Linked DNA regions of Cricetulus griseus. The protein of the gene in region 1 purifies or fractionates together with the protein of each later gene. This does not show direct contact. Links are inferred from orthologs where the notes say so. Each region holds a gene or a part of one and is shown in the gene's direction. Other genes may lie near its edges.

Region 1 (8,338 bases):
AAACTATGATCTCTTTTCAGTAGACAGTTTTCATTCTTGGCACTAGGGCATTGGCTTTTTCATTTCACTAGCATGGAATTCCTGGGGAAAATTAAGTTCTTTGGACTCCATTATTCCAATAGTCTTATAGCACAACAGTGGAATTAAGAATTCAAGGCTAGCCTCATCTACACAGCAAGTTTCAGGTCAGCCTGTGTTACATGAAACCCTATCTCATAAACTGAACCAAGGCTCTGTTTAGGCCACACTTGTGAATTCTTTTGTTGATTTCTAGGTGTTGAGTCCCAAGGCCTTCGAACTCCGGGCTTGAGGGTCAGAGGTAGGCAGGAAGGAGAGGTATGCATTTTAATTCAGTGTTTGTCAGTGTTGCCTAATGACACGTTATGGTGCCACTTTCCTGCTTGGAGCATAAGTTGGCCTCCAGGTCTTGCCAGTATTTTACTATCAGAGCCCAAATAGGTTCAAGTCAAAAGAATAATTCCTCAGGAAGCCGGGAATCCACCCAATTATCCACCACCACCTCTTGGTTATTCATTTATCACTGATTTTTTTTAAAGGTAAGTTTTATTCAGTTACTTTGGGACAGGGCTGTGAGTCAGAAGTTGGTATCAAAACCAGAATAGAAGTCACAGTTTTCTCTGGGGATTCTACTCCCGGCTTCGAATCCCCAGATCACAATACTTTCTAATTGGAAAGAAAGGCTTGTAAACAAGCACAGGGATTTGTTGGCCCCTGACACTGACTAAAACGGGCGGTCTAAGGGACTGTCTGAAGATGGATTCACATGTCAAAGTGAAATTTTAAAGTATTTCCACCCCGAGGTTTACTGCTGGATATAAATTGGGCAATCCCACCACAATACACCCCTGCCCCCCTCCCCCGAGCGCAGAAACTCCTAAACTAATTAACGCTGAAACGACATTCAAGCAGTCTTCCCCCAAATGCCTTTGTTTTCCGAGAGATTTTATTGACAAGCTGACTCACGAAGTTCCTGTGTAAACTGACTGTTTCTCACCCCTCAGTCTGCAGACCAATGGAAGGCCGGTTTTATATCTTCTCTATAGCCGGCACTGAGTAGACCTTGCGTTGTATTCACCGAACTGTGGACCAAATGGCTCGCACGCTTCCATTAAGAAAATTATCTAGGGTGCTCACACAGTATCCGGGTAAACACAACGCTGTCATTTAAGGCTCGTTTGCTAACATTCACATGACTGAGGGCAATTCCTGAACTGGGGGAAAGGGATTTTGTTTTGTTCAACATCATCTTCTCAACAAAAGCCTTTCTTAGCTTAAATGTACTAGGTCCGAAGTGGCTGAACCCCTCCAGAAACGGGCGCGCAGGCGCCCACACGCACACGTGGACACACACACTCACACGCGCCTACCTACACCCCCTGCGTGTGACTCGCCTACGCGATTTATGGGCTTCTCCGGCAGGGATTACTGTCAGGTGCAGAAAGCAGCCCTTTGTTCCGTGGGCTCCCCCACCCCCCGCCCGCCCGCCCGCCCCGGATTTGACTGTTATTTACGGGCCACGTGAGCACTGGGCTCCGGCCTGGCCGGCGGGGGGAGGGGGCTCCCCTAGCGCAGGGGAGACAAAGGCTAGCCGAGTGTGGTCAGTGCCACCTGGGGACAACCCACCAATCACCCCCATCCTACTCTTGTAACTCGTGTAAAATCGGCCCCAGACCTGGCTCGGACTGAGACTCTTTGGAGAAACGTTGTGTCAAAACCTTTGTAAAGCAGTCTGTGTGTTTCTTTGCTGCGGCAGCTGAGGCCTGGTACCCGCTGGATTTGTAAACTGCGGGGAACCCCCGCCCCCCTCCCTGCCCACAGCGAATCTGGCTCCGGCTATCGAGGCACCAGGGATGCCTAGGGCAGGGCCACCAATGGCGGGCTAGCGGGAGAAGCAGCATTAGATGTCCTCACACTCCCCCCAACCCCGGTTCCCGCAGCCAGAGAAACCGGACCAAGCCCCCTTTGCCCTCCTTACTGGTGCTCTCCCAGCCCGAGTGACCGGTGTCCCAGACCCTGCCCCAGTCAGCCTGTGTCAGTCTGTTATTGTGGCTCCTTCCGGAGCCCGGATTAGTGTGATTACTCACTCCAGGCACCAAAATTTAAGGTGCAATGGGAGTCACTTAAAATGGCAGCAACAAACTAATCCACACGTAATAATTTATCCTTTTAACTGAAAAAAAATCCATGAACAAAATTAAAAATTTAAGGCAGAAACATGGTAGCACCATTTTGGAACCTGAGGCTAAATGGAAATATCTTCACGGATGATCAGCGCCCCATACAGCCCACTGGACCCAGATCGGTGTGTCGGGGACTTCAGAGTGCTCGAGGAAAGAGTAGGTAGAAGGCCTTGGAAATGGGTGCTGGGTGTGAGCCGCTCTGCAGGGAACAAAGCAGAGGGCAAGGCTAGAGAGCTGAAGTGGGCAGAAAGGACCTTGAGGGTTCGGCCGCCCTCTTCCACCCGCGACCTGAAATGGAATACTGGTCCTCGCTACCACCAAGGCCGCGAGCGAACCCCGTAATTCCCTCGTTCGGTGATTAATTCTTGCTAACAAGACTTGGCAAGATCGCGGCAGAATAATTTTTGGCTTCTGAAAGGTCTCCACCGTGTGCGTGCACAAACCTCCCCTCTTGCCAAAAAGCCCTTGGGAAATTAAATGCCTCTGGCAAAGTAAAACCCGGGTGCGGACACTACGTGACCTAGAAAGAGGGAATGCAGAAACTCGAATCGCCTCTGAGCTTATTAAATTCGTTCAAAAGATTAGTCTTCGCATGGACACTTTCCGGCACCTTCCTTAGCACCAAATGTGGACCCTAATAGTCATTTCCTGAGAGGACAGTTCGCGTGTGTCCGAGAGGGAGGACTTCCTGCGAAGAGGAAAACGTCGGGGTGTTCTCCCCTCCCCAACCACGTAAGCTTAGGCATACCATTCGGCTAATTAACGCCCCCCTCTGGGTTGTAAAGTAACAAACTCTACACTTCTCTTTTGTTACTGGGCTTTGGCGCGAGGATCTTCCCTTTCATCTTCTAAGCCAGGGTTTGCCCATGTTCCACGGGAAACTATAAAGCTGAAATAGGCCAGGGTGGAAATCGATCACGCTAATGTAAAAACCAACGTCTGGGGAATCGCATTAAAAACAAAACGAAGCACAACCGGCACGATCCCAAGAGCAAGGTTAAGTCCTGCGAGAGGAGGTCCCAAGCTCTGTGGGTGGCAGCCACACAGCGCCCGGGTCCACTGAGCTGCAAGGAGCCAGACCTAGAAGACTGGGCCGCGGGGGTGGGGGGGATATCGCAGAGGCGAAGACCTCCAGCAAGAGAGCCCAGGCCTTGGTTAGGCCGGCGTCGCCACCCGCTACCATCTCTGCGCTTCCGCCGCGCTCCGGCGCTATAGAAGGACAGGGAGACGCGCCGCAGCTCCATTCACAAAGTCCGGGAGCTGCCGGCTCGCGGGCGGGTCGGAGGCTGCCTCCTTTTTCCTCTAGGTCTCAGTTTTATGAATGGGCCTGGCAGCAAGCACCGAGCGCCCTGTTTACTCCTCTCTTTGTGACGTCGAGTTCCCGTGACTGGGTGCGAGGGGGCCGGCCCTCCATTCACGAGCTGGGGTGGGGGCGGGGCTGGGCGGGGAGCTCGCGCGGGGGGCGGGGCCTGGCGAGGTAGTAATGACTCTTCCCTCCCCCGGGAGAGCCGGCGAGCATTAATAAATCTCTAAGCCGAGGAGGTAACTCTGGCTGGGGTAGTGCGCGCAGCTCCGGCGGGGTGTTGCGTGGAACAGCGGCGCCCGAGCGGTTGGCGGCAGGAGCAGCAGAGCTAGCAAAACACATTAGAGGCAACAAACCGAGGGTAGCCCTCTCTCGTAAACACACTCCCCTCATCGGCTACTTTCCCCCGGGGACCGCGTGCCTGCCTGCTTTGGAACCGGAGAAGGCTCCGACTGCTATGTAACGTCGAGTCTGCGGGTCGAGGAAGGGGTACGGGGAGAAGAGACTGGGGCCAAGTTTGCGGCCACTTCGATAGGCGCCCTCTTAGCCCTAGCCTGCTCCTTTCTGTAGCCTAGTTGGCCCGGGTGCCCTTGGTCTTCTCCAGCTCCCCAGCTGCTGCAGTTCCCGGCGACATGGTGACGATGGAGGAACTGCGGGAGATGGACTGCAGCGTGCTCAAAAGGCTGATGAACCGAGATGAGAACGGCGGCGGCGCAGGCGGCAGCGGCAACCACGGCGCCCTGGGGCTGCTGAGCAGCGGCAAGTGCCTGCTGCTGGATTGCAGACCGTTCCTGGCTCACAGCGCAGGCTACATCCGAGGCTCGGTTAACGTGCGCTGCAACACCATCGTAAGGCGGAGGGCCAAGGGCTCAGTGAGCCTGGAGCAGATTCTGCCCGCCGAGGAAGAAGTGCGCGCCCGCCTGCGCTCTGGTCTCTACTCGGCCGTTATAGTCTACGACGAGCGCAGCCCGCGCGCCGAGAGCCTTCGCGAGGACAGCACCGTGTCGCTGGTCGTGCAAGCGCTGCGCCGTAACGCCGAGCGCACAGACATCTGTCTGCTTAAAGGTAAACGTGGGCGCCCGGGCGCGAGCTGATGGGTAGGTGTAAGGGACTTGGCGGCCTGCTGGGCATGGGAAGAAGTACTCGAGTGACTTCGGGCTGCGGGAGTCCCCGTGAGTGTCAGTGTGCACGGTCTTGCCGTGGTTTTGAGCCCAAGTCTGGGGCTGGGGGAGTGCTGGCGTGTTTCTCCAGCCACCTGCCACCCGCACGCTTCCTAGAGTTACGTGTTTATTGACAAGAACAGCCCTGGCCTGGATGCTGGCAGCAATTGCTCTGCGCAGGCCAGCTTCGAGTGCTGAGATCGCACTCTTAAATTAAGTCCCCCAGGGACAAGAGAGGCCTGTTGGTTCGGTGTGACCCCGAGAACCCTAGAGACGGGTGAAGGAAGGTGAACGCCGAGGTGGGATCTGCCTCGAGTGTTCGTACACAATCCTGCCTTTGGTAAATGCTGGAAGGAGAATTGGGTTGCAGAGCTGGGGAGCGTTCTAATCTGTCTCCCGCTGCCCCAACTTAGAGCTTTTCTGGAAGGCGGCCAACTCTCCCTGCCCTGGGGTCCTGGAGCGGGGAGACTGGAGTGCTGTATTGGGGGACACCAGGCAGAACCGCGTCTCCTCCCGCTAATCCTGGCAGCGGAGAATCACTACCTTTTGTTCACACACCATTCTCGACTCTCTGCTGGCGGCGCGTGCCTGGTTGAAGCGAACCCTGGCCTAAATAGGCGGCCGGAGAGAAGGTGGCTTCTCAAATGTAGAAGTCAGATACCTCCAAAAGATCGCACACTGTCCTAGTCCCTGGAGAAAGGGACCGATGGCTCGCCGCACCTGCCAACCCAGCGTCTGTGCGGGCCCTCCGGCTGCGGAACCCGCGGTGAGCGCGGGGGTCGGGCGCCCCCTGCCGCGCTGCGCCCTTAGCTCCGGCCGCCGCATTCCGCGCATTCTTTCGCGCGGGTCGGGTCTTCGCTTTTGAACCCGGGAGGTATTTCGGATCCCCGGCTGCCAAGAGCCGCCCCTTTCTCTGTGGAGGCGCTTGGTCCCTTTTATTACACTTTTATTCCAGGAACCTGTCCACCGGGAGGAAGGGAGGCTGGGTGAAAAACCCTTTTCTCCGATCCCCTCGGAAAAGCACTGGGAAGCTGCTGGGTGCGGGCGAGCGGGCCCTGCGCAACAGCGGGGGGCTTTGTTCTCTGCAGTTGTTTCCTGACCGTTTGACCCGTCAGCTGCTGGGGGAAACGCTGCTGTTGACCTGAGCCTGAACTGCTAAGGCGATTTTGCTTACTTTTCTTTCTTTTTTCACGAGGGCCGCCTTTTGCTTCTCCAGGGGAGTCCTAGTCTCTCGGGCTTTTCCCTAAATCGTTTTAGGAGCGACGGCCGGGAAGACTCGTCCCGGATCTCACGATCGCCCAGCGGTCAGAGACGAGCCCTACAGGGTACCCGGAGCCCCGGGTCAGGCTCAGGTCCCGTGTTCTTCTCTCGGAGGGGTCCTGCTTGGACCCCAAGCTGCACGTCTGTGCTATTGTTCCAGCCTGCCTGCTCTTCCCAGTCGAGATCGCGCGGGTGGGAAAGGTGACACTGTATTGGGGTGGAAGTTGGGGAACTCTCTCTGGCTGTCCTGGGTTCTTCAGCCCTTGGATTGAGAAAGCGGGGCTACACCTTCCTACTCTGGCTTCGGGAGAGTCTAACTAAGCCCCACGTGGAGTCAGGGATTGTTTTGTTTTCCTTCCTGGAAAAAAATCCGTAGGGGACCGCCCTGGAGAGGCTGCTGCTGGCCTTCGTCCTGAGCGCTTTAAGGCTTCCTTCCGGGCCGCAGGCTCCACGACCTGGCGCACTGGGAGGGTTAAATTTCATGGCTCGCAGCACTCTGCAGTCGCTGATTGGGATCCGGAGACCCGGAGGCCAGACCAGTTCTGAAAACGCTTCAGGGCAAATACTGACGTAAGAAGGGGGGGGGGAGCGGAATAGGACAGGTGGCCTCTGGGCAAAATGACAGTCCTCTCCGTAATGGGTGGCCAAACGCCTGGCCCAAAGAAAGCATTTCCTTCAAGCCTTGCTTGACTGATCTCTGCCTTCCCATCTCCTTCCCTTGCTGTTTGCCCTTGCTGGGCAGGGAGGATCACCCATGCCCCTCAAAAGTCAATGTCTTTTGAGGTAGCGCTCATCTAGCCCGGGCCACAGGCCTGGACTGCTTTGTTTTCATATGTTCAGGAACAGCTGCTACCCCAACTTCATCACCACCCCTAGCCAGAAGTTCAGCATGCTGCCCTTGGGAGCAAAAGCCTAAAACGAGGGTGGGGGAATGTTGTTGCCCCTCGTTCTGTAGAGGTAGCAGAACATCTGTCAGCCAGCCGTAGTTTACGTGGATGTACATACCCAGCCATGACCTAGTCCCTCTTCCTCCTCTCTGCCAATTATTGACTGGCCTTGGTAGAGAGGGTAGCAAGAAAATGCCTGCTGTAGTCATGGGGACTAACCCCACTCCCAACCCCCGGGTGCCAGCCTAGAAGATACGGCTTGTTGGGAGAGAGTCAAGGCTCAGAGACCTGATATGAAGCCTGGTAGGTTTGTGCTTAGTTGTTAAAGGCCAGGTAATTTGGCTCAGCTGGGGTAGCCAGGGCCTCCTGCTGGTGGAGTGAGGGGGCAGACAGTGGGCAAGTGGGAGGGAGAATGGTGGGTGTCTGCCATCCTTGGGATGGGGAGACAAAAGAACGGTTTCAGAAATGGTGTCCTTCCTGGCCTAAGCAATCCATCAGTTTGTTGTTGGCCACCCCCTCTCCAGTTAGTTGCCTTGAAAGAAATCTCAGTTTTCCTATTTTTTTGTCACGTAAAAGGATGATTGTCAGTAGTTAACAGTGGATTTTCACAAGCAAGGGTTCAAAAGCAGGAATTAAACTTAGCTGAAGTATTGTTAGTCTTGTGTATCTGCTGCTATTGATCAAGGTTTGCTAAAAGTAGTTAACTAAAGTCTTATGTTTTCTTTTTGCTAGTAAAAATCATGGGAAATACTTTAACTTAAAATCCTATAAGGCTCTGGGCAGTGGTGGTGCACACCTTTAATCCCAGCACTCGGGAGGCAGAGTCAGGAGGATCTCTGTGAGTTCAAAGCCAGCCTGGTCTACAGAGTGAGTTCCAGGACATCTAGGACTGTTTCATAGAGAAACTCTGTCTCCAAAAACCAAAAAAAAAAAAAAAAGAAAAAAAAAGAAAAAAAATCCTTTAAGGCTTTTTTGGGACAGTTACTAAAATTAAGTTTTTCAGATTTTAATCTCAGCATACATCTTTCAGATTCTTTCCTTCCATAACTGTTCCTAGACTTTTAGGAAAGCCTGGTTTTTAAAATAGAAATTTCTTACCCTAATAGCAATAATTCTTTACTGCTAGTATCCCCAATGTCACCCATTAATCTAACACACACACACACACACACACACACACACACACACACACACACACACACAGATTTCAGCCTGGTGTGGTGGATGTCTATGATCTCAGTAACCTGGAGGCTGAGGCAGCTGGATTACAAACTAACTAGCCTGCTCCACACACAGGACCTTCTTCCAACAGTTTAATCTTCCCTTCTGTCTAGAATTTATCTTGTGACTTCAGTTCGTATACAAATCTCATTGCAAAATTATCCAGGGGGCTGTTTTGAATGACCAGGGTAGTCATCTAGACAGTCCCTCTTGGTTAAAACTCACCTGCCCTCAGGTCTTTGACCTGACCCTGACTTGAGTGGGGGAAGGAAGAGAAGGGGTGTTCTTCATTCAGGACCTCGGCTG
Region 2 (7,579 bases), on another chromosome or scaffold:
TGCATGGTTACAACCATGTGTATTTGTTCCCATAACTTTTCAGATTACAGTGAGTCTCTGCTGCAGGGCTAGCTCTTCTTTAAACTTAGCTGGTTAGGAAGGCAGTGCTGGAAAAGATTTAGAAGTCAAGGTTCTGTTTTTAAGCTTCTGACCCTGTGATCGGAAAACTAATGGAAGGGTAGTTGATTGGTTAGCAGTCTCACCCATGTGAATAGAACTGGGGGAGACAGCGAGACTAAAGTCAGTGATCACAAATAGAGGCGTTAAGGGGCTGGAAGAGTAAGTCTGACATTAGCATCTGAGACAGTGATCCACACCGGAATGGGGCAGGCCTCAGCGCAGCCACTGGGCTGCTTGCTGACACTCTTTGAGCGGTCATTCTGAAAATCCTTGTTTCCACAGGCAAGAAACTACATTCAATCCCTGGCCCAGATGCCGAAGATGAACTTTGCAAACGTGTTTATTGGCGCCAACCCCCTGGGTAAGTTGGTCACGTTCATTTTGTGAGGTAAATTGGGGACTTGAAGTTTTGTTCTTCTTTAAGTTTATTTTGGGTCTTAATAAATGGCTGTTAGTGTCTGTGCTGTCACATTTAAACAAAAACCATACGATGGGCTTGTATATTTATATGGTCATGGAGTATGGTGGTGGAAAGGACAAGTGCAGCAAAGAACAGAAAACAGAAGGGAGTTATGGGAGCATGAGGAAGAATGAAGGAGGTCTAGAAGCCAGCCACGCTCCTCACAGCTCCTGGGGACGGGTGGGGCCAGGCTGAGGACAGGATGCAGAGGCACAGATGGCACTTCGTGCCCAGCACTGGGTGCTGTTGCCCTCCACTCTGACAGGCTGGCTCTCCCGCCTTTCCTCTTCTCTCGGCCCTTCATGGCCGGAACCAGCAGCCTTTTCAGAGTTAATTTGTCATCTCAGCAGTTAAGAGCACTGGCTGCTCTCCCAGGGGACCCAGGTTCAATTCCCAGCACCCACATGACAGCTCACAACTGTCTGTAACTCCAATTCCATCCAGGTAATCTGGCACCCTTTACACAGACACACATGGACATAAAATAAATAAATCTTAAAAAAAAAAAGATGTGTTTTGCCTTAGTTGAAACTCCAGTTACTGTTCCTTAAAGTTGGAGGCTAACCCATGCTTCCGATGGCCCAGGATGGTTTGCTGAGGCTCTGGTTCCTTGCTCCGTGACAGTGGAGTAGTCGTCCCAGAAAGAAGGGCCAGACCACAGTCTCCCTGCAGTAGGAGGGGAGTGCAGGGGTGTAGCCGCTGGCGTGCTCCACCTCTTCATATCCCTGCAGGTGTAACTGTGGACCTGTTTTTAAATCACGGCAATTGGTAAGTCTGTGTGGGTCATATCCCTGGTTCTGGGATATGGTTCTAGAATTAGTTGTTGTCTTTGGAGAGCTAATGGCCATGGCAGTGGCTTCAGAAGGTGGGATAGGCAGGTGCTGTTTCCCTTCAAGAATGTCATCCATAGCCACAGTACAGAAACGTGGCTGTGGTGATCCTGTAGCTGGAGAGGTGCCCGAACTCTTGGAGGACTGAGTCCAGCCTAAGCTGCCTCACTCTGGCCTCGGGAGTGCAGGGTACTGAGGGTTGGATTGGGTCTGTGGCCTCCCTGGCATGTTCTCACTGGGCCTTCTGTGACATGAGTGAGCTACAGTGCCCAGGTAGCGGTGTGTGAGGTGTGATCTGTAAGCTCTCCAGATGTTAGGGGGATAGAGAATGAGGCTACCCCTCGCACCTCACATTTCAGATGCACACTGTTTGACTCCCTCTTATCTGCCTCAAAAGGATTTCTTCTGCCTTTGATGGAAGTCACACACATCCTGATATGTGTCCCTATTTAAGCACAGACGAGAACCAGCTCCCATGAGTCAGTCCAGACTGCTGGGGAGTAAAATCTGGTGCCCAGTACAGCCTGCTCAATCCAAACACGCAGCGCATTGCCAAGTGCTGGTGGCAGAGGGAACATGCTGTGACCCATAGCTAGTCGTCCCCAACTTGCTAGCTGAACCACACAGCAGTGATATAAATATTAACAGCCCTGTTTTCAGTCACTGGCTTCGAATCACTGCTATTCTCAAAACACCTGAGAGCTCCACCGCCCTTTGATCTTAGTGTTGGCGTCTATGGAGATCCTTGAGATGTCTTTTCCTTGCTTCTGACCTGTTCTCATCTAAGTGCATTGGTCCTAAGATAGTGTAACTTTTTAAGGTAGGGTGGCAGGCACCCACCCATTTGTGTTCAGTATGAAATCAACAGATTTGTAGATGAACATGAAAAGAATATCTGTCTATTCAGGCAGTTCAGCCAGTGCCTCCCAGAATGCTGGGATTACAGGTGTGCACCACCATGCCCAGTGTGTACACTGCTGGGTGTGGAATCAAAAGCCTTGTGCACACTTGGCAAGCACTCTACAAGTTACATCCCAGCCCCTCTTTAAAGCGTGAGGTGACTCATGAATCTGAGCCCACATATGCTTATTTGCTGTTTCCTCTGTACCCTCAAAGCTTGTGCTTCTGTGGGTGACTGTGGAGTTCAGGCTGCAAGATGCATGATCACTCTGATAAGCAGAGGGACATCACCTCTTCAGGAAGCTTTTCTCCTCTTTAGCACCCACAGCCTTCCACTGTGAAGAAATTATCTGGGGCTGGAGAGAGGACTCTTCCAGGGGACCCAGTGCCCTTTTCTGGCCTTCTCAGCCAGCAGGCATGCACTGCTGTGCTCATAGAACTAAAAAGAAAGAACCCTGGGGTCTGAGAGCCTTTCTGTCTCGTTGATAACTGCTTAGGATGGCTTTACCCAAGCAGAACATCCTCCTCCTCAGAATTAGACAGCTCTGTGCCTCCGTCTCTAATGAGGTCATCGCTCTGGGGAGGGAAAAATCAGTAATGCTGAAACCATTATTGAAAGTAACTGATACCAGGAACCAAAATATTCCCCCAGATTACTCACTTGGGGAGAGAGGGGAAAGATCTCAAGATGCCAGTCACCTTTAGCTCCACTGGCTATTGTGCCCACCAGTTCAGAACATCACCTGGGACGTGTTCTTGACCAGTGTGCCTGACATTGTTCCTACCGAAGACTTAGGTCTAATTCTGGCTTTTGATAAATGTAAAGAATATAGGAAGCGGGGTGGGGAGGGGTCCATCCATCAGAGCACAGAGAAGCAGTGGCAGCCTGTGATAGACGATGGCTGCCCGCCTGCAACACATCTGCAGTGTCTGTCGTCAGAGGAGAGCCAGTAAGAAGCAAGGCTGGTGATACAGCCTGTCTGTATCCCAGTGTTGAGGAAGATGTGTTCAAGACCATCCTGGGCTACATAGCAAGGCTGAGGTCAGCTGGTTTCAGAAAGGCTAGAGAAAAGAGAGCCCCATAAGGAAGTCCCAGTTTGAACAAATGTAGGAGACAGCTGTGATGGAGATGTTTTACCACAGACAGGTTTGGGGTTAAAGACAATGTTCTGGTCACGCAGGATGATGTCTGTGTGCTGAAATATTTAGGGTATAAAGTGTCATCTCAATAACCTTAAAACAACTCAGGAGCGACACAGAAATAATGGGGGAAATATGTCAGATGTGGACTGACTGATGCCCCTGCATGGGTCATGGGTGCCCCTCCTGCTTCTGTATTCCAAATTTTCACAGTGAAAGTCTTAAGGATCAGATATCTTTATGTAGTACCTTTTCTTCTGCGACCCTCTGGGAAGCCTTCAATTTGCTATTGTTTGACATTCTGGGTGAATATTTATATTATGCTAGTATGTAATACTAATATGCTAATATAGACTACAATCAAGCTACCTGCCTTGTAGATGGTCTTAGCTGTCGACCTCCAGGCTTTGGCCATAGGGGGCCTCCATTCAGTACAGTTCATTCAGTTGTCACCGTGTGGCCCTGACACTGGAAAAAAAGTTTGTTCACAGCCTGGTTTGGGGGAGTAGATTTTGTTTTGTTTTTGTTCATTTGGAGTGTTTTGTTTCGTTTGAGTTTTTTGAGACTATGTAGCCCTGGCTGTCCAGGAACTCACTCTGTATTTTTCCTCTTGTGTGACAGCTGTGGACCTGCTGGAAAAGATGCTGGTTTTGGACTCAGATAAGAGGATCACAGCAGCCCAAGCCCTTGCACATGCCTACTTTGCTCAGTACCATGACCCTGATGATGAGCCTGTGGCTGACCCTTACGACCAGTCCTTTGAAAGCAGGGACCTCCTTATAGATGAGTGGAAAAGTAAGTTCAAAGGCAGGCTAGGGTGGGTCTCAAAGGGAGCTTGGTTTCAATCTATTCTTGTTTGGTTGCTTTGTTTGTTTTTTGAGCCAGGACTTTTCTCTGTGTTAACAGTCCTAGCTATCCTGGAACCAGCTCTGTAGACCAGGCTGGCCTTGAACTCACAGAGATCCGCCTGCCTCTGCCTCCCAAGTGCTGAAAGGTAGGTGCCACCAACGCAGCTCATTGGACCGAGGGCCTCACACGTGCAACACTCGTGTTCTACCACTGAGCCACATGCGCAGCCCAAGAACTTATTTTTAAAAATATTTTCTGGGCTGAGCAGTGGTGAGGCACACCTTTAATCCTAGCACTTGGGAGGCAGAGGCAGGTGGATCTCAGTGAGTTTGAGGCCAGCCTGGTCTAAAAAGCAAGGTCCAGGAGAGCCAGGCCTGTTATACAGAGAAACCCTGTCTCAAAAAACAAATAAGAAAAAATCTTTTCCGGGTGATTCTCACTTATCAAAAAAGGCTTGGGAAAATAGGGACTCATCAGTGGCAGCCTAGTGTTGTGTACACACCTGTGGGTCAGCACTCAGAAAGTGGGTTAAGAGTTTAGTGTTGCTGGGTGTTGGTGGCGCACGCCTTTAATCCCAGCACTTGGGAGGCAGAGGCAGGCGGATCTCTGGGTTGGAGGCCAGCCTGGTCTCCAGTGCGAGTGCCAGGATAGGCTCCAAAGCCACAGAGAAACCTGTCTCAAAAAAAAAAAAAAAAAAAAAAAAAAAAGAGTTTAATGTCATTCACAGCAACATAGGTAGCTTGAGGCCAGCGTGGGCTATATGAGAGTCTGCCTCAGTAAAGCCCTTGTGAACAGTTACTGCCAGCTCACTAAACTTACAGCCCGGGCCTTCAGGGCGTGTGTTCCCTGATGGAGTGTGTAGATGCTCACAGTGCACAGCTCTTCACATTGACACAGAGCTTTGAGGGGCGGGGGGGAGGGAGGGGCTCACTCACAGCATCTCTTCAGAATAAGTAGGGTCCGATGTATTTTCAGTTTTCCAATTGAGTTTTTATAGCTCACCTTTGGCCTCGTTAGGGGCTGCCTGGAATGGAGTCACATCTCCCTGTCCAGTGTCAGATTCCTTCATAAACCACAAGGCCAGCTCTCCAGTGAGACCCCAGAGCCAGGACTGTCTTCCACTGCGGTGCAGATGCCACACTGCTCTGGGCAGTGACGAGTGTCTGCAGGCAAACACAGCGCTGTCAAGTCTCACACCTTGCCCTTCTTTCCTGTCATAGGCCTGACCTACGATGAAGTCATCAGCTTTGTGCCACCGCCCCTTGACCAAGAAGAAATGGAGTCCTGAACACCTGGTTTCTGCTGTGTCGACCCCACTTCTCTGTGAGGGGAAGGCCTTCTCATGGGAACTCTCCAAATATCATTCAAGTGCCTCTTGTTGAAAGATTCCTTCATGGTGGAAAGGGATGCATGTATGCGTGTAGTGTCTGTCTGTCTGTCTGTCTGTCTTTGTGGCTGGAGTCACTGTGCTAGCAGTGACATCGTGAGTGGTAGTGCTTTCTCAGTCTGGGCAGGCAGATGGGAACTGCTGTCTTGTTAGGGGTATGCTAAGTGCAAAGTAAGAAATGTTAAGATATCCCTGTTCCTAGTTACACTTTTGCCACTCTGGCTTCTCCGGTGGCCCCACCTTTACCATACACCACAGTGGCACAGACAGGCCATCCCCCAGCCATGCATACAGAAGAGACCAGCTGGCTCCTGAGCTCTAGCCTGTGATTGGCTTGCTTAGGATGGTCCTCAGAGCCTGACAGGTGTGTTCAAAGCCGGCAGTCTGTTTGTGCCTTAAACAGAGAAGGACACAGAGAACCGCAGCTGCTCATGTTCTGAGCCAGGTGAACGCACAGGGTTGGTGGGTAGCCAGTGGTGAGCAAGAAGAAACAAGACAGCCTTCAGGGAAGCCGCGCGTGTGTGTGTGTGTGTGTGTGTGTGTGTGTGTGTGTGTGTGTGTGTACTTGTATACTTGTGTACTTGTGTACGTGTGCAGGAGCATGTATGTGTGGCCGCCCTCCCTCTCCCAGGAGCAAGCGGAATCTATGCTTACCCTTCACCTCAGTGCAGAGGTCCCCAGTACCAGGCGCAGGTTCCTGCCTTCAGCCGCTTCCTGTGTGCTCTTCACATCTGGCAGAGTGCAGGTGTGTTTGCATGCTGTGCCCTTGGAGCTTCCACAGCCCCCTTGTCTGTCCTCTTCGGAAAGCCCTGGGACTGCCAGGCATGTGGGGACTTGCTGGCAGTTCCTGTCCACGTTGCCTCCGCTGATGCCATGGGCACAATACTGCCTCCTCACTCCAGCGCTGCTTTGTGTTGAACACAACTGATCCTCCAGGTGCTTGTGGTGCAAGGAGATGCAGGACAGACAGACAGACAGACAGACAGAGCACCTGAACTCTTGCCATCTGACTGTCACCAGTTTGGGGAGGAAAAGAGGCCTCTCCTAAGAATGTCCCCAGCTCTGGAAATCATGCTCCCCTCACTTGTAATAATCAGCTAAGGAATCCTGAACCAAAGTGAGGAACAAAGGCTCATGAGGCCGGGACTCCCTTCACTGTCTTTCTCAAAATTGGGTTGTTAAGAACAAAACCAGGCAGGACCAGTGGCGCCCGTGCTCAGAAGGGTCCTCCCGGCAGCTTGACACTGACTGGTTCTCCGTCTCCGTGTTGATTTGGGGAGAAATCAATTTTGTCTTGGGATTTTGTATGTTATAGGAATCCTTAGAGAATGTGATTCCTTCTGATGGGGAGACAGGGCAAATTATTTTAATGTTTTGTATTTTCACCTTTATAAAGATGAAATCCTCAGGGGTGAAGAACTGTTTGCATAATTTTCTGAATTTCAGGCACTTTGTGCTGTATGAGGACCCGTATATTTAAGCCTTTTGTGTAGTAAGGAAATGAAAAGCCAATTCCAGTGTTGGCCGCGACAGGTCTGTATTAGGTCAAGGTGTCTGCACTCTCAATCAGTGCAGGGTCATGCATGCTCCAGGCGGGAAGGGTAGGAAAGACCCTGGATCGTCTGGAGCCCAGCAGGATGCAGGCTGGCCAGGCCTTTCCACCTCAGTGTGCAGTTCAGGACCTCACCACCCCAGGAACATGTATCCCGGAGGCCATGGCTGGTTATGAAGGCCAGTGTGTGGTTTCCAACTAAACTCTGCTCGGATTACTTACTTTATTGAAGTTGTGTTTGCACATGTGACCATGCTGTGGTAAGAGGCCCTGCTCCAGGGCCTGAACTCAAGGGAGCTGACAGAAGAGCTCCCAGCATCCACAGCGAAATGCTGCCATCT
Region 3 (7,873 bases), about 140 Mb from region 1:
CTCTGAGCCAAGGATCTGAACAGACATCACAGAGCCTATTGAAGTCACTCCTTGGATCACTCTTCTCACTGTCTTAGGCACTAAATTCTGTCTGTTCTGGCAAGATAGTCCCTTGCTGTCTTTTTCTGAAGCAACTACCAAAAAATTGACATGATAAACTGTAGCTGCCAATCTTGCATCTAGTCCTCACAGCACCTGTCCTCCTTTCTAGGTTCACTTGAACTCTGCCATTCTGCAGCTACTCTTTGGCTTAAGAGACAGTCTAAACTTCTATTCCTCCAAGGACTTCAGTCAGATGTCCTTAGAAACCCATGCTGAGGAAGACTTCCTCTAACTAGTTCTCACTGTGACAGCAAAAGACAGCTACCTGGTAATATACTGCCTAAACGTGCTGGTCTAGACGTGACACACATCACCCCTCTTCAGTGTATCAGCAGAGCTAGCCATAAAGACCTACCTAGTTATAAAAGAATAGGAAAATTTGGGGAGAGCAGACTCATGAATGTTGTTGAGTACCAGTCCTGCCATAGCCTGTGGTTGGCTGACATTGCTGCTCTGCTGCACACCTCCTTAACAGGCACACACATTGATATCTGTATCAGATTCAGACACTGATCCTTTGGGCACAAAAACATAGGAACTGGCTCTGTCTTCCCTCTCCTTGAGTTCCCTCAGTAGAACAATCAGATGGGGCCAGGGTAGCCACAGCAATCTCATTGGAAAACTGAAAGAAACAGTGGTTGATTAGTTGGCAGTTGAAGTCCTGCTGAATGGACATTGTAAGTGGTCTTCCCTCTGGAGGTGGGAGTGCTTACTCATTAGGAGTTGAATCTGATTTCTGCACAGTACAGTCTGTCCACTGTTGTCCACATTACCTGGCTGCTCCCCATGGGAATCTTCCTTTCCTTCTTAAATACATCTCAAGTAAGTATTGAAAGCTGTGGACTCTGGCTGCTCAGCTTTCTTTACCTGCTTCCTACCCATGAAAGACAGGAGCACAAGTATCTTATTGACATTTGGAGCAGAAAGTTTCTTTGTTGCTGTCCTGCCCATGTAAGATGCTCAGCAGCTTTCTTGACAACAGAGTTTTATTTTTCATAGTGAAGCTTTTATCAGCAACTAAAAGAAGTGTAGCTTTATAATTGTATGTCTTTTTAAAACATACTAGCTGGCAGGCTCTGTATTCTTGGACTTACTTGAAGCTCTCTTGAGTCTACCTTCACACTTTCAGGCTTCTTTGGACAGACTGACTGATATCATCAATTTGAGGATTTGACAAGACTTTCAGATTTGTTATGGGAAATGGTGTATAGAAACATGCCAAGAATATCCATGGCTTGAAACAGCACAGTGCTTGCTCAGGAGCCTCAGGATTGGGCTATGTTCCATACATTGGGTCAGGTTCAGGTTTACTTCCCAGGGACCTTGTTTTCCCATGGTATAAGGTAAAAGGACAGAAACTATGTTAACTCGAATATGTCCAGAATTTCTCTTCAGATTTGGTGAGCATCACATTCTTTGATGTTCCATTAACTAAAACAAGGATAGGCATATAAAAGGATGATGCTTGGTCCAGGGATGAACTATACCATCTGTCAGCTTTTTCTGGGTTGTAGGAACATTTAGCTTATCCAAAATAATGACACTATTATCTTCCATTTCTACTTACAATGTGGCTAGTTCTTTCCAGTGGAGCCAGTAGCCACCAATAGACAAAGGTTTGCTTTCCAACCTTTTCTAGAGCAGGAATTCAAGAACTTGTTTATGTAAAGACCACATTCTAAGGTCTCTGCCACAGCTACTTAGAGGACTCTGCCCTTCTATCACAAAAGCACATATAGATAATGTGGAACAAGAGGGCTGTCTAAGTACACAGAAAACTTACTTTGCAAATGCACTCAGGCTTTCAATTGTCAGCCCCTGTTCATTCTGCAAGTCCTGTGCAGATGACATAAAAAAATATTTTTGCATCTGCATAATAAGGATCTCTCTCCATTTTGTTACTGGTTTCAGTGCTGTTCAGTCACCAGCTCATGGCCCTGTGTTCTTGCACAGGTTGTCTGTGATCTTAAATGCTTGGGGCCAGATTGTTTCAGATTTGGAATGTTTTAGATTTTAGATATTTTCATAGACTTTACTTTAGAGCATCCCTAAATCTGAAAGTTAGAAATACAGATTTCTTGAAAATCAAAGCTCTGACATGATGGACCCTGTACCCTTGAACTAATTTGAGTCTACCGTTAAGTTTTCCTTAGCATAGACATCAAAGTGGATATAACAACCTTTTAAGTACTGTCAGTTATACTCAAAATGACTTAAATTTGGGCCTTTCAGATTTCAGAGTAGGGATACTCAACTTGAAGTAGGCTCAGGTACAATAACAATTATCAGACTCTTAACTAAACATAACTAAGGTTTATTTCTCATATTATGTGTACAAGCAGATCATGGGGGCGGGGGGGGGGGGGGAGACATGGTTTTATAGAAATGCTGAACAATCCTGGTGCCAAGAAAGCCCACTACCTGGAGTGTTCTTACTCACCAAAGCAAGAAGAGCCACAGGAGGCCTTCCTCCACTTTGTTCCCATTAAGATACTACCTACTAGGTCTACTCATTCCACCTTGCCTGACTGGAGAGGCTTAGAAAATTGGGGAGGAAAATTGAATGTTGAGGTACTTCTACTCTCTCTGCACAAATGTAAACTCCAAGTCACTCTTCCATATGTAGTTAACAATATAAAGATGAATTTTAGTTAATATTCTTAGAGCCAAATACTCTTGACACTTTATTTTCTTAAACTGTTTCTTTAAAAAAAAAATTGTATTTGTTCATAGTCCTTCCAGAACAAAAAGTGTTTGCGTTTTTTCTAGACTAGAACCAGCTAGACTAGAACCAGTAATCTCCAGCTGTAACAGCAGACATGAAAGTGATACTAAAGTTTGTAATGGGCATTCCTTTGCTTTATATACTTTTTTTATATTTCACAAGTATTAGCAACATTATATTTGCAGAACAGCAATGATGGCATTTATCTTATGCTGTAATAACTCTATATTCTTAATATTCTTAATTTTCTAAAGTCCTGAGTCTGTTCCCGAAGCCTTTGCATGATGGCCTGTTAGAAACAGCATATAAGCAATTCCTGCATGTAGACATTTAAAGGGGTCTTTGCTTTTGGTGTTAGTATCTGCTATTCATCTGTGCATGTGAGATAGTGTGATTGTGGTGTGGATATGAGAGTTCATTAAAGCTAACAGGCAAAAGCATGATGAATGTGAAGCCCTGAGTATTTATGCCACTGCTTCATTTTAATAGGCATTAAACAGATTTCTTTCTGGCTGGAGCCAAGTGGCAGTTTTTCACAAAGACATTATTTAGTACTACCAGCAGAAAGCAATTTTATGGACCAGTGGCCCCAGCACACTAATGTGTGCTACATGTGGACAAATGTTTATGAGCAAATATTTGTGATTTTATGTGGGAAGTCAGGAATGGGCAGGCTGATAGTCACTATTTTGGTCCTTTAGAATGAGTGTCTATTGAACTGGGGTTGATCCCAAGCCTTCTCCCCATAAAAGCAAACATGTATAACTATGAATGTTCCAATAACATATGCCAAGGTTATGTCAATATCACGTGACTATTTGCAGAATGTTTCATAGTGGGTTTAAAGTGATAAAAAGCTCATTGTGACCTTAGGATGAGATTTCTAATGCTATTAATTTAGTATGCAGATGAATATAAATGCTAATTTATGACTCTTACCATAGTAGAGAGTAAAGAACTACCATAGTAGTTCTTTTATTGTTTGTGATTGGTATTTTAAGACACAGGGTATTGCTATGTATCCTAATTTGCTTAGTATTGCTGTGATAAAACTGACCAAAAGCAACTTGGGGAAGAAAAGGCTTGTTTCATCTTATGTAACAGTCCATCTTTGAGGAAATTCGGGGCAGGAACCTGGATTAGTAACTGAAGCCGACTTCCTAGAGGAGTGCTGTTTACTAGCTTGCAACTCCATGGTTTTTTCAACCTGTTTTCTTAAACAACCGGAACTACCTGCCCAGGACGGCGCCACCCACAGTAGGTTGGGCCCTCTCAGTTTAATCACTGATTAGGAAAGTACCCCCCAGAGTTGTCTACAGGCTGTTCTGTTAGAAGCAATTTCTCAGTTGTTGTCCCCTCTTCCCAAATGATTCTAGCTTGTTATGTCAAGTTAACAAAAAACTAAGCAGTACACTGTGTATCTTAAACTTCCAGTCTTTCTGCTTTGGTATCAAGAATTGGATTACAAAGGATAGGCCACTATGCCTAGCACAAAAGTCTTTTTTGTTTGTTTTATTTTTTATTTCTTTTATGCAGTTTTGCCTGCATGTATGTCTGTGTGAGGGTATAGAATCCCCTGGAACTGGAGTTACAGACACACCTGTGAGCTGGCATGTGGGTGCTGGGAATTGAACCCAGGTCAGAGCAGCCAGTGCTCTTAACTACTGAGCCATCTCTCCAGCCCCACACAAAAGATCTTAAGTGAGCTTTAAGATGTCTTTCCAAATCTCTTGCTCTACTTGACCAAGAATTTCTAGCTAATACTGATCTCTAGGAAATAGAGCTTTACTGACTTCATACTGGGTTTATGTTCATATAAATGAAAATATCTTCAATCTGATTTCTTGGGTTTGCCTATTTGTATTGAATCTCTGTAGTTATATTGCAGTGAAAACAGTGAACAATTAAACTGTTTAACAGATTATGTAGTTCAGTTGAGTAGTGAAACCTTTGTATATATGTCTTAGCAATCATTTTAATGTTTATTTCCTGAAGGACTTAAAGCCTAGTAATATAGTAGTCAAATCAGACTGCACTTTGAAGATTCTTGATTTTGGACTGGCGAGGACTGCAGGAACAAGTTTCATGATGACGCCTTATGTAGTGACTCGCTACTACAGAGCACCAGAGGTCATCCTCGGCATGGGCTACAAGGAGAACGGTCAGCATATATTTTCACTTTGAAATACTCATTTGATTTAGTTTATCAGTAAGATATTTGTACTTAAATTGAAGTGCATGGAATTAACCATGTTTCAAATGTATATCAAGAATCTGAGCATTTTACCATACATATTTGGGAAAGCATGGGGGTCTTATCTTAAATGTGAGTACTTTCCATCAGTCCTACTCCTAAAGAATTCTAAAACCATAACTTACGCCCTTTGCTTGTCTGTAACTTCAACATGAGCATATACCTTTTAATTAATCTTAGTAGTAATTCTAGTGTATAGTAGTCATATTTGCTCTCATCTCCAACACCTTTAGTCAGTGTTAATAATAACACTCAATATCAACTGAGAGCTACATAAAGGCTCAATTCTGAAAAATTAATGGATAATGCAACCTCTTGTGGGAAATAATAGTGTTGCATAAAATCCTGTGTCCAGCCTTAAGGAAATTGAATATATTATTATGTGTGGATATGTTAAACTTTTTAATGTGTTTCTAGGGAGGGAATTAGAACAGTGGTTCACTTTGAATCAGAAAATTATTGTCAGTCTTGAAGATTCTTTATGCATATGTACATACATGCATACATACATACATACATACATACATACATACATACAATGATACTGTTGAAATTTAGGTCCTTGCTTAATTTCCTTTTCTTTTTTGAGCTAATTAAAAACAAATATTTTAGATATCAGTTTATTTAAACAAACAGGATATTCTGCTTTCTTAGTCTCAGCATAAGATTTAAATGTTTTGTTTTGAAATATGACATTTCAGGTAACTAGAAAGCATATTGCTAATTGCTTTTCTGTGAAACTTTTGGTTATATAAATTGCACCACGTGTTGGTATCCTTGTAAATATGGTCTTGACATAGCTCCTTACCAGAAATTAGAGATGCTGTTGTCAAGAATTGATATATTGGGGCTGGAGAGATGGCTCAGTGCTTAACGCTGGCTGTCCTTCCAGAGGTCCTGAGTTAAATTCCCAGCACTCACATGGCTACTTACAACTGTCTAATGCCAGTTGCAGGGAATTCGACACCCTCATACAGACATGTGCACATAAGATAAAAATAAGTAATTAAAAAATTATCCAAAAAAAAAAGGAATTGACATATTGTCCTCTCAGATCAGTCACATAGATCATCTCATTGCTTTTCCTGCCTGTTCCCCCAGGAGCCCAGTCAAATCTAATGCTTCTTCATAACTACCATTAGCAGCAGGGGATGACATACAGATGTCCTCTTTTAAGTGCCTCTCTCTCTCTATCCTCTCTCTCTCTCTCTCTGTCACACACACAGACACAGAGAGAGGGGGAGAGAGAAGAGAACCTCAGATTGCTTTAAAAAGTTTGGGGTAATCTATTTTAAGCTGCCTGATAGCAAATTCATCCCCTTGTAGCAAGTTTTATAATACAGTGATCTGCTAGGAGACTCTTTATAGATCACAAATCTGTAGGTACTTTGGTATTTTAAAATAAAAAACTTGAAAACACTTGTGTTTACCAAGGTTTCTTAACAGATAAGCTGTTCTTGTTCTGCATTTGTCCTTTTTTTTTGGTAGAGGTTAGGTATAAATGTAAAATGAAGTTGCGAAGAAAATGACTGACTTTTAATTCAGAACATACAAACAAAGCCTTTTCAGTTCAATAAGCCTGTGAAATGTAGTTTGAAATTTTCTGAGGAAAACTTTAGATTAACATTTTATTAAATTCAGAGACATTCTGTTTCTAATATGCTAGATTATTTCTGCTTGTGCTTTTAAAATTTAACTTAAAGAGAGAGTAAAATGCACAGTTAAACCTCAAAATAGTGCATCTTATTTTTATAATTTTATGACCTCATATACATTTTTAACTTTATAGTTTGTTTGGCTCTACTTTACATTTTATAAACATTCACAGTTATAAAATGTATATTTTTAATTTATCCAGTTTCTGTGCATAGCTCTCACTTTAAAATTAGATATGTAATTAAAATGCCACTCCATATTTTCTTTTGTGATTCAAAGCTTTTCTAAAAGCATTTTGTGTTTTAAATTATTCCATTATTTGAAATTCAAACCACCTTTCTTTGTGATGTTCTGCAGTTTTTTAGATAATGCAGTCATATTATGCTTCTTTGATTTTAATGACCTTTTGCTTTGCTTTTCCTTCTTTTGTGCTGCAAACATATAGTGGATTTATGGTCTGTGGGGTGCATTATGGGAGAAATGGTTTGCCACAAAATCCTCTTTCCAGGAAGGGACTGTATCCTTGTGCTGCTGCAGCAAATTACTTAGCTAGGTGATGAACTTCCTTCTGTTTGCTAATGAAAAGGAATATATTGTACATTTGTACATACATACAGGTTTTTTTTTTTAATAGATGTAAAGTTTGTGGCTGTTATAGTTCAAAAAACTGTTGAGCAAAGAAACTGAAGTGTTTGTAGGCTGCACCTGGCAGCAGGACATACAGTCTCTGCTGGTAGTCAGAGCACATTCACTGTCATTCATTTTTATTTTGTATTGCTTTTTATAATTTTAAGTGTATATGGTGTGTGTGTTTTATTTTAATGTTTATATATTTTTCTTTTTATTTTAACCAAATCTTTATGTTAATGTCATTGCATTTTGTTTTCAGTTGACATTTGGTCAGTTGGGTGCATCATGGGAGAAATGATCAAAGGTGGTGTTTTGTTCCCAGGTACAGATCGTATCCTTATCTTTGGCCTAAAACGTAGTTTCTAAAGGTCAAACTGTATGGAACCGTGTCAGGTGGAATGTATTTTGTCTCTCCCTAATAAAAAGTATTGTTAAATTACTCTTCCAGAATACCACCTCTTACTTGACATAGACTTCCCTTTTTCTCATTTATTGTTTGCATTTGT

Evidence for each region.
Region 2: the proteins of Dusp4 (region 1) and Mapk14 purify together in Homo sapiens (affinity purification with mass spectrometry; 3 studies listed by BioGRID and IntAct, with this or other methods). This does not show direct contact. The link is inferred for Cricetulus griseus from reciprocal best matches to the Homo sapiens genes DUSP4 and MAPK14.
Region 3: the proteins of Dusp4 (region 1) and Mapk8 purify together in Homo sapiens (affinity purification with western blotting; 3 studies listed by BioGRID and IntAct, with this or other methods). This does not show direct contact. The link is inferred for Cricetulus griseus from reciprocal best matches to the Homo sapiens genes DUSP4 and MAPK8.

Annotation. Positions count from the first base shown.
Region 1 is NW_023276807.1:50,090,819-50,099,156, reverse strand, and holds the start of Dusp4 (dual specificity protein phosphatase 4), read left to right. Parts: upstream 1-3,698; 5' UTR 3,699-4,136; coding exon 4,137-4,569; intron 4,570-8,338. UniProt on the Homo sapiens protein: Regulates mitogenic signal transduction by dephosphorylating both Thr and Tyr residues on MAP kinases ERK1 and ERK2.
Region 2 is NW_023276806.1:233,853,177-233,860,755, forward strand, and holds part of Mapk14 (mitogen-activated protein kinase 14), read left to right. Parts: intron 1-402; coding exon 403-481; intron 482-4,071; coding exon 4,072-4,245; intron 4,246-5,519; coding exon 5,520-5,587; 3' UTR 5,588-7,579. UniProt on the Homo sapiens protein: Serine/threonine kinase which acts as an essential component of the MAP kinase signal transduction pathway.
Region 3 is NW_023276807.1:186,008,057-186,015,929, forward strand, and holds part of Mapk8 (mitogen-activated protein kinase 8), read left to right. Parts: intron 1-4,822; coding exon 4,823-4,988; intron 4,989-7,182; coding exon 7,183-7,254; intron 7,255-7,626; coding exon of another isoform or gene 7,627-7,698; intron 7,699-7,873. UniProt on the Homo sapiens protein: Serine/threonine-protein kinase involved in various processes such as cell proliferation, differentiation, migration, transformation and programmed cell death.